Linked DNA regions of Schizosaccharomyces pombe. The protein of the gene in region 1 interacts with the protein of each later gene in a biochemical or structural test. Each region holds a gene or a part of one and is shown in the gene's direction. Other genes may lie near its edges. The genes, in order: rga2 and rho2.

Evidence for each region.
Region 2: of the proteins of rga2 (region 1) and rho2, one has a biochemical effect on the other in vitro, tested with the Schizosaccharomyces pombe proteins (one study listed by BioGRID).

What each region holds. Positions count from the first base shown.
Region 1 is NC_003424.3:3,347,546-3,354,020, reverse strand, and holds rga2 (putative Rho-type GTPase-activating protein Rga2), read left to right. Parts: upstream 1-1,762; coding exon 1,763-5,452; 3' UTR 5,453-5,918; downstream 5,919-6,475. Other genes in the region: cnt6 (centaurin ADOP ribosylation factor GTPase-activating protein), read right to left, coding at 1-1,036, 1,328-1,452, 1,491-1,506; Sm snRNP core protein Smb1, read right to left, coding at 6,460-6,475. UniProt on the Schizosaccharomyces pombe protein: GTPase-activating protein for Rho-type proteins.
Region 2 is NC_003424.3:4,421,053-4,425,386, forward strand, and holds rho2 (Rho family GTPase Rho2), read left to right. Parts: upstream 1-1,638; 5' UTR 1,639-1,949; coding exon 1,950-1,975; intron 1,976-2,059; coding exon 2,060-2,138; intron 2,139-2,254; coding exon 2,255-2,260; intron 2,261-2,313; coding exon 2,314-2,352; intron 2,353-2,464; coding exon 2,465-2,505; intron 2,506-2,573; coding exon 2,574-2,592; exon of another isoform or gene 2,593-2,640; coding exon 2,641-2,733; exon of another isoform or gene 2,734-2,777; coding exon 2,778-2,912; exon of another isoform or gene 2,913-2,959; coding exon 2,960-3,124; 3' UTR 3,125-3,594; downstream 3,595-4,334. Other genes in the region: protein nst1, read right to left, coding at 1-1,159; srp2 (guard protein for 5'-capping of pre-mRNAs Srp2/Npl3), read right to left, coding at 4,198-4,334. UniProt on the Schizosaccharomyces pombe protein: Involved in cell morphogenesis, the maintenance of growth direction, control of polarity and of cell wall integrity. Regulates the synthesis of alpha-D-glucan through activation of pck2.

The sequences.
Region 1 (6,475 bases):
GAAGGTCTTGCATAAAACAATAGTAATCATATCGTTGTAAGGCAAACGTTTTCTCTTTTTGAAAAAATTTAGAGTCTCCTCCCTTTTTGTCCTTTTTAGCTGATAGATAACGCGACAAAGATCCATAAAAGCTTTTGCTTTGTTCATCAAATTCAAGTCGTCTATCATCAATTGGCTTAATGAAGCTTGAGTAAATGTTATGAAATGGCTCATATAAAAGATTAATTAAATCATAATTAAGTTTTTGTATAAAGGTGGCATGAATGTCCATAGCCTTGGTTAAATAACTGTCCAGAAGTATGTCCATATTCATACTGGTGCTATTAGAAGCTTCCGAAAGTGTCTCTGACAATTTCATAACAGCAACTTGCGATGCATCGTATGCATCACTTAATTGGACAATACGTTTCATTATTTTTTTGCAATAATACTTCATAAGAGATGATTTTTGCTCAAGCTCATGCAACATAGATCGGAATGACGGTCCATCCTCATAATTCTCTGGGAATATAACGGTCTTGGTATTAATCAATGAAAGCTCCGTCTTCGCTTCCGGAGATTGAGGAGGTTGGGTTTGTACCGTCTGGCTAGTAGTTAGCGGCGACGTGACACGCTGGCTTTCCGAAAAAAATGTATCATCCATAGAATCACCGCAACGAGATACGGTGTAGTAGCTAAATTTTGAGATACGTTCAAGAGTACAGTCTTCAGTAGAGTAAACGGCTATGCAAGAATAGTTTTTGCATTCATACTCCAGAAGTTTACCCGAAGGAGGTGACCACTCCCAATGATATCTGATATTGGCCGCATTTGAATCTGGTAAAAAAATTTCATGTACATTATCCGAAGAAATTAAGTCTGCATATTTCAACTTCTGAGCAAAAAAAGAATCAAACGATTGAAGCGATTCGCAATGGATGAGTACAAGTACTTTCCTCTCCTTCTGCAACTGGAGAACACGATCACTGAATAAAAAGTAGAAGTCTAGCTTGTTTTGAAAACTAAACTTAGGGAGGCACTCTTTTGATGTAGAATCCTAATTTTTACAAAGTTAGTAAAATCGTATATGGAAATAAGAACATCTTCGAGCAACACGAATGCACAATGGGCTTGCTCCAGTTGCTCCTTTTGGATAAAATCATAGACTATATCTGTTTGTCTTGTAGTTATTGTCATTCATTAGTCTGTGTTATCCAGTTCAAAAGAATGGACTTATAAATAGATGTAAGAGTGATAACTATTTTTTGACAAAAGAATCGACACTATTAAATGTGTCTATTTTAATATTTTACTCAATGTTCAGATACTCTTAGCTTTTATATCATACCAAAACCATGTCCACCAATTTTCCTGATGAGCTAGATATTGACTCTAGAAACCCATCTTCTCGGGCGCGGAATGAAATGGTAGAGCCATTGTCTAATTTGGAAACATCAACAGATTTCAATAAAGCTAAACGTTAGTAACGAAAGTAAAAATATTAAACATACAGTCACTTCCGTCCATTGCCGGGTCAAAGGGCTATTAGTATAAATTCGGTATGAGAACCGGCAGCAAAGCTTGAAGGAGTCTCAATCAAAAATTTGAGGGTTCTCAATACGAAGCTGCTTGTTCTCTTCGTCAAATGGTAAAGATGGATGTTGTGCGGACGACAGGTTTTTTCTTGCGGTCAGAGCCCACAACTTGCCGTATCACCACTTTCGCATATTCTGCCGAAATCATTTATTTTCATGCAGAAACTACGTTTCTATTTGAAAAAATAATGAAAGAAGGAAATGAATTGGAGAAGTATTCAAAAATTGAGCTGAATTCAGAGATTTGGGAAGATGAAGAAGAAGAGGATAATTCTGGGATTGTATCTCAAAATGAGAGATTAATGAAGCTAGTGAATAAGCAAAGAGAAATTATATACGAGCTGCATAAGGACTTGGAAAAAGTAAAAAAGGATAATACTTCATTACGCATGCGACTGAGTAAATATGAGTCTACAGACTCATTTCCTTCTAGTCAACCGTCCAGAGCTAATTCTCCTCAATCGGACTCTTATAGCTCTCCATATGAGAAGGGGAAATTATTTCCCAAGATTTCTTTGAAAAGTTCCAAAGACGTACCTACTGCTTCTGCTCACATTAGCTCTTCAGACCATGAAAAATCTAGTTCTGTTTCGTTATCTGCTTTAAATAATTATAATAAAACTACCGATATCAAGGCCAGGTCGTTAGACAGATTGTCGGATATGACCAGACCAAAACTTTTATTGAATACGAAACGCTCGCACCGTTCATCTGAAGAACCAGGTGCATCTTCACCAGTGACATCTCCAATATTAAAAGACAGCCAAAAGGAACGGATACAGGCCCTCCGAAATAAAGCAATCAAGACTTATTCGGTATCAACTGAGTCAGCTGAACGAATTGATTCTATCCGTTCTGACAATTTATCACCTTTGTCATTAAATACATCTTCTTTTCGTAGGCCAATTACAAAGCCAACTCCATTTAACTCGGACAGTAATATTTCTATTGATCCTAAAGATAACAATTCAAACAAACAAGACCATTTTGCTGAAATTGAGGACGAACTTCGTCAACAATTCTTGGACATAAAAGTTGGAAGAGCTAATGCATCATCGCCTAGGAGAAAAAGTATATCTATTGTAAAACCGCATGGTATATCTTCCCCAAAGCATTCTACTAATAATTTAAGCTCGAAGTCAGGTAAATTCCATTCTGATTTTCGAGTTGTTTCCGAAAATGTTCTTTTACAAGCTCGAAGTGAAACGAATTCTCCCATTATTGAAAATAAGGAAGCAAATAATTTCTTGGCTCCAACCTCAAATGTTCCAGCATATTCAACCCCTGCGCGTCCTACTGAGAGTCCTCCACCTCCGCCAATTTCTTCGTCTTCTACCACACCTAGGCCTGATGACAAACCTAGCCTACCTCCTCGTGGACTTTCAGAAGATAACGATTCTTTGTCTCTTCAAAAGACTGGCTCATCCGATACAAGAAGGTCCTCATTTTCTACCTTGAAAATACCTGATAGTGACATATGTTTTACACGTCGCCGGTCGGATTCCAACAGAACTTGGACGGTCATCGATCCTCATCATTCACAATCTTTTGATAATGACATTCTAGCAGAAATACCAACATCGAAACTTGATAATTCTAGCCAAAAATCTCCAGGAAAATTGTCTTCTAAAGGGTTACTCAACAGCTTCTCACCGATTTCGCCATTTAGCAAGTCGAAATCTCATAACCATCATCCATCAAGTCAAGTTGAAAAATCCACGTCGAATTCCAAAGGTTCTATGTTACCTTTGGATACTTTGTACAACAATAAGTTGAGCTTTAGGTTGGATGAATCATTAGTCCGTTATCTTCGTTTCGAGCTTATGAAAACCAGTTTGGCTTCTTTATCTCCAGATTTTGATTGCATAGGGTTGCAATTCGTGGTCGGTGTCTCTGCGAGTTCACATTTAGCTTCACAATGGAAAGATGAAGTATGGAGTTTCACAAGGAGCATCGGAGAATGTCGTTCCTTTGCTACTTCTTTCGTCTTAGACATCGGCGCACCTCCTTTCCCTACTCTTGATTGGTTTACAAATGACTCTTCAGTAATTCAAAACGAATTGTTACGCCGTTCTGTCGATACCTATTTTCGTTATATATTTCAAACTGATCTTAAGTTGGAACAGAGGATCAAGTTACTAGAATTTTTGTCAAGTGACACTTTACGAGAATACCTTCATGATGTATTCTTTCTTCCTCCTGAGCATGCTCAAAAGGAGGGGGTACTTTTGAAATACATTGAAAACAGTGGTTTAGTTTCACGTTATTTTTATTTAAAGGACAATATTTTATATTTCGCTGAAAATCGAAATTCTCCAGTACTTGGTACAATCCATTTAAAAGATGCGCAGGTGAATCGCTATAATGCCAATTTACCTATATTTTCTATCATTGATCCTCCTCATGAATTTTTAACTGGTGAAAATTATCAATCCGCTTTTGTAATTCAGGAAAAACAAACGGAAACGCGAACGGGAACTGCAACTGTTCACGTTCTTTTAGCAAGAGATGTTGAAGATCAGAAGAGTTGGCTGCGAGCCATACTTCGACAGGTTCCTGGCTCTACTTCTCCTCTCAATGCTAGTCCCTTCTCTGTATTATCTTCTGATTTTCCTGGATCTTCTCGTTATCGTGATCAATCTTCTCCTATCCGTTTTTATGGAAAAGCAGACTCAAGACCTGTAAGTCAAGAAGCAATTTTAAGTCAGGATATATCCAGCTCTCCATCTCCCGTTTTACCACCGTCAGAAAATGTTGCTTCTTATGCCGATGATTCTTTGGTTTCAAATTTAACCATGAGTCCTAAATTAAGGGATTCAATGGAGCAGGTGCCTTTAGAAAATCATAGAGAGTTTGAGATTAGTGATCGTGTTTCTGAGTTGTCATTCGACAGTAGTACGGGAAGTGTTTTAGAGATTGCTGACACTAGACGAAACCAAGATGCTCCTGAAAAGCACGTCCCCGTGATAGAAATCCAGTCTTCTAGACCTTCGCTGGAGAAGACTGACCAATCTACTCCTGTAGAGTTATTGATCGATTCTCATTCTCAGAATTCGCAAAATGAAGAAAAGAGATCGAGAATGAAATTTTGGGCGTTTCCGCATCATAAGGCCGAAAATTACGAACAAATATCTGATACGAATATACCTGTGATCGAAACAAATGTAATGCTTTCACCAAGTTCGACAACAAGTGCTGAGCCATTACAGAAACATATTGTCCGTAAGTCTGGAATATTCGGTCTTCCTCTTAATGAAGCGGTGAATATTTCTACTCAATTCAATGACAGCGGTTTGCCAATTGTTGTCTACAGATGCATTGAATACTTGGAATCATGCCGAGCCGAGAAAGAGGAAGGTATTTATCGGTTAAGTGGTTCTGCCTCGACAATTAAACATCTTAAGGAACAATTTAATGAAGGAGTAGATTACGACTTGCTTTCGTCAGACGAGGAATTCGACGTGCATGTAATTGCTGGACTTTTAAAGTTGTATTTGAGAAATTTACCTACCAACCTCTTAGACACTTCTATGCATAAATTATTCGAACTGTTACCTAATGTTCCTAACGATTCTGCGGCCCTTGGAGAACTTTGCGATGTTATTAGCAAACTCCCTCCTGAAAATTTTGCCCTTTTGGATTCCCTGTTACATCATTTGCGTAGGATTATTGCTTTTGAAAAAGTTAACAAAATGAACATTAGGAACGTTTGTATAGTGTTTTCTCCTACTTTAAATATCCCTTCGGATATATTTATGATGCTTATCCTTAACTATGATCATATCTTCACAGATATTTCACGACAAACGAACGGAGCACAAAACGAAAGCGACTCTGATGTTAGTGATGACAATGGGGAGGATAACGAATTTTTCTAGGAATTTAACGTCTACAAATTGTCAACGCTTGAGACGGTTAGTTTACTTAAACTTTCAATGGTTGTACGTGTTTTACTATCCCTTTGTCTTTCGTCTTCCTGTTCATTCCTTTATTGAATTATTTCTTGTTTTAATGCTTAGAGACACAGGGATTCTCCAAATATTCGTATGTACGGCAGTCGTCTTAGTACGATGTCGTTAATTTACTCTTTCTTTTAAAAGTTTTAATACTCTATAACTATTTTAGCCCTTCGTTTGTTCATTCTTTTCTAGTTCTTCTTATAACTAATTTTGGGCAGGTTTTTTATGATTGTATATTCAATTTATGTTGGAAGCTCGGGTTTTTTCTTTATAATCTTCTTTTATTTTTATTCTTCTTTGATTAGTATAATGAATTGTCGTTCTATTCTTGCTATTGAGCGGTGATAAATGAGCAATATTATATGTTATTTTAAGTAAAATTGCTAACATTAAATATCATAAACTAATCTAGTAAGGGTCATATAGACATAGCTAAGTAAAACGTATATATTCACTCTTAGCTGAATATCATTTTTTTAAAGGAATGCTTTCGTACAGTTTTGTTTGATATTCGAACTACCAAACAAAAAAGATAACACTGTTTTGTAGATGATACCAAACTGACGACAGCAGACCATTTATGGATAATTTATGCCTGTATCACCTAATCCATAACAGCATTGGTAAACAGAGTTCACGATAGTCGCATAAGCATTCTCGCTGAGACTCTCATAAAACCTCGGATTAGAAAATGAAAGTTGGAAAAACTAATTTATACAAATACACAAAAGCAAAGCGCCTACTATGATGTTATCGAATGAGAATAGTACCGATGAGGTTCAAGTCAACCGATTCGTAAAAGCAGACTATAAAGCTTTTTAAATAACCAAAAACGCACTAAAACAAAAATCAGATGTTGATCGTGCTATTAATGAACGAATAGTGGATGCTCTGTGGTGAAAGAAAACGAATCAAACGGAACCATCCTAAACAGGACGAAAA
Region 2 (4,334 bases), 1.1 Mb from region 1:
TTGAAGAATTCAACTCGTCTTGGGTTATATCATCATTGAGAGATTTTGATGGTACGTTGTTCAGAGGAATCGATAAAAGCTTAGGTGAATCGGAGATGATTCCTTTCTGGGACTTGTCTGAACCTTCGTCTGAAGCGTTTACAGACTCGGTATTTGCAAGGTTACGTTGAATATTAGCATATTGTTCTAATTCTTCATAGTAAGCATCATACAGTACTTCCAACTCTTCCTCAATTGCTAAACGTTTCCTTCCACACACCGAACAAGAGCATGAGTATTTTTGTTGCTCTTTCATTTTTTGCAAAACAGCTTCTTTTTCGACTTTAACTAACGACCTGCGTTCACTTTCACTTAAGGAAAGCCAAAATTCCCGAATTTGCTCCCGCTCCTCAGTATTCGAACTGCTCCAAATATCTTTGGATTTATTATTGTTAACGTTATTATTCATACTGGCTTGACGCACAGAACCGTTGTAATAAGAAAGCGCTTGCCCATTCCTATAAGTAATAGCAACGTCCGTAGAATAAACTTGTTCAAAATCTCTTTGATCATCCACATTCAACGATGCACTATTTGCTTTTGACTTCTTCTTCTTTTTCTTTTTCCGTTTAGATGAAGTTGACGAACCTAACGCTACTGTATTCAAATTCATATTATTTTGAACGGAGTTCGGTGACATATTGGACGACGTCGCGTCTTCCAAACCAGGTATATGAACTGGAAACTCGGCTTCATCCACGAAACTGGAGGTAGAAAGAATACATTGGGGAGAATGTTCTATGGTATCGTCAGATTCAAGAGTGAATTGCCAATCCGTCGAAGATATTCCTTCGACGTTAATCAACGATGAATCATCACCATTTGCCGAGACCAGCTGCGGATGAGAAATACGAGAATTCAAATTTGAAAGTTCCAAAGACGCTTGATGATCTATGACACCATTATTCGCGCCAACGTCTGTAACTGCAGAATCGGTCCCTGCCGACCCAAGCAAATCCACGTTTGCTTGAGTCTCGACATTTTTCTTGGCTTTCGGTTTTTTCTTCTTTTTATTCTTTTTCTTTGTACCAGAGTTGGGAATAGGTATAAGAAGATCCTTGAAACTTGGAGGTTCTAACCCTACACTGAGTGCTTCGGTGCGAAGAGCTTTATCATTCATGTTTTCTTTTTAAAAATCGCCTACCAACAACGCCTCTTTTTTTATGAGCTTAAAATATGAAACTAACGATTTAAAAAAAAAATAATTTAAATTATTTTTTTTATTCAAATTGTAGCTCACGGGTCTGCGTTGGCAATGTTTTAAGGGTAATCCCTAAAATTCTTAAATGCCGAACTGCCCACCTTTTCTTAGTTCAATATTCAAAAACAGTATACCCCAAAGTACTTGAAATAGTATATCTTCTTAGGGATTTCAACCCAGATGATCCAAATCACAAAGATTTTTGGATTTAACTAGTTCAATTGCTGCTTTGCAGAATGTGGTGAATAAAGCCAAACGGCAAATGGCGTTTTATCATATTTAATGCATCTTAACGTGCAAAATTAGTTCTTTAAGGCATGTTAAGGTGCAATAAGGAAGCGTACGATTCCAATAAATTGAATTTACGATACTTAACACCAAAAGTGTCTATAATCCGCATGGGATAAATGTCACCAAAACCACATTTCTTGAACAAATACTCTTTGAGAAGCTAATTTTTGTGCATATACTACTTTTCGTTGCTCTAATTGAAAGGCTTGGACGTTTGGCTAATCGCTTCATTTGACTATTTCGACAATCGCTTACTCATTTCTTATATTTCAAAAATTCACACCTATTTGGTTTAATTTTTACAGCTTTTCGAACCGGGAAATTTTGGTTGTCTGATCTGCAGTGAATCATTCTTTAAGAAAAATTTGCATAGAAAAAACCTCATACAGTGTTTAATCCGCTCCCTATTAAAAAGTACATGTTGCAATCTCAACCGATTAGAAGGTACGATTCTATGGCCTAATATCTTTTTGCTTCTTTTATTTCTTCTACTCAAATTCATTTTCTTTAAATATTAATATTTTTAAGGAAACTAGTAGTTGTAGGCGATGGTGCCTGCGGGAAGACGTCTTTGTTATCCGTTTTCACTTTGGGATATTTTCCTACTGTAAGTACAGATGTCATAAAAGTGAGCTTTGGCTTATCGCATATTGCACGATACGCAAATACTTATTGTCTTTTCTACCTTATTTATTTATTTATTTACTAACTTACTGGCGATAGGAATATGTAATGCTTTTTTCTCTTTATTTCGTAGAGTTTTTTAATAACAGTTACTATAGGTTCCGACTGTGTTTGAAAACTATGTTTCAGATTGTCGAGTATGTGTGATTAACAAGTTATTGAGCTTTTTCAGTTGGTTACAGAAAGTTACTTTCCCACTGGTCCCTTTTCTTTGGGTTTTGCTAATACATTTGATACTAACTAAAATAGGTTGATGGAAAATCAGTTCAACTGGCATTGTGGGATACCGCGTAAGTACTTTTTTTTCTGATGTTAAAACTATATGTTATGTATTCCTGCATACTAATTCTTGTTTTAGAGGTCAAGAGGAATATGAGGTTTGTTTCGTTATTAATAGTGAGAAATACGTCGTTAACCCAATGCAGAGATTAAGACCAATGTCTTACGCTAAAGCACACATTATTTTGGTTGGGTTTGCGATAGACTCTCCTGATTCACTTGAAAATGTTTCTACGAAGGTTCGTTTCATTAATTGTTTTTTCCAGTCATTAACATTATATAGTGGATTGAGGAAATTAATACACTTTGCCCAAATGTTCCGTTTATTTTAGTGGGCATGAAAGCCGACTTAAGGTCAGATCCCGTTGCTATTGAAGAAATGCGACGTCGAAATCAAAATTTTGTAAAATCACAACAGGTATATATTAATAATTCAAACACGTGAATACTAATTCTTGATATCAGGCTGAATTAGTAGCTCAGCGGATTGGTGCGAGAAAGTATATGGAATGTTCTTCATTGACTGGTGACGGCGTGGACGATGTATTTGAAGCTGCTACTAGGGCAGCACTAACAGTTCGGGATTCGGAAAATGACAAGAGTTCTACAAAATGCTGCATCATTTCATAATTACTAATATCCTAACGATTGCAAACATTCATGTTTCAGTTTATAGGAAAGCCTATCAGTTTATGCGACCTACATTTACAAAAAGCTGATAGACTTTTTTGCTTTTCTTCGCATTTGTTCTTTGCCGTTGTTTCATTTCGTTTTCACTTTCACTTCTGTCGTTTACTTTTTTCTTTTTCTCCCCTATACCTCAAATTTAGTTCCTATTTTATTTTGAGACTCAGGAGTATTATTATTATTTTCATCATTATAATCTTCACGCATCGGTCGAACGACACTAGCCTCCTTTTTCATTTCATTAAGCAAACCGCATTCAGTTATTATTACCTTTTTTTTTTACTCTTAAACATCTTTCATTCTTTTTCAGCATCTATTGTCCTCATGAAAACTACTTTTTGTTTAAAAGATCATAGGACTTTATTTTTAGAACTGCCGCTTGCGCTCATTATGAAGTACAAAATTCATATATGTACATATGCTTTTGTTCTCTTAGGCTAATAGAAAATGTCAGTTTTCCTTATTGATACATTTAATACGTAGGCTCACTTCGCTAAGTAATTTTATGGGGCGGTCAAATTCAAAATTCTGGCTCATTTAAGCTAAATATTAAGACACCGCCAAAGGTATACAACCATATCAAAATTTATCACCTACTAAAGTTTCGAGCCTATTTTTTTCTGGGCATTAATGGGTTGGAAATCAAGACTGGCAAGAGTTAAAGTGGTCACTCTCATCAAACAACTATGTGAAATTATATACCCTTTAAACACCCATACTCCAACAACTAACTTTTCTTCGGGCGTTCACTTCATTAAGAACAACAACCAAAAAAAAACAACCAAAATCCATCCAAATGATAAAGAATGACAAATACGCGGCAAAAATCCGGAACTACACTAAAAATTACACATTCCTTTCATTCTTGATCGTAAGAAAGGAAATCGCCAATAAAGAGAGATAAATTCATACTCAAATACATCACAGACAAAGGATATTAAGACCACAGACATATGACAGGAAAATCTAGTAAGCAGACACTAAAAAATAGTTTACCAAAGGAAAAATTTCTATGTTTACCATTCAGCAGCGACCTGTCCTTCAGCGCTACCGTTACCTACATCAGAATGGTTTTGCAAAGGCTGTTGTTCTTCCGAAGCAGCAGGTTTGTCATATGATTCAGTGGGAGCAGATGACTCCATTGATGCTTCAG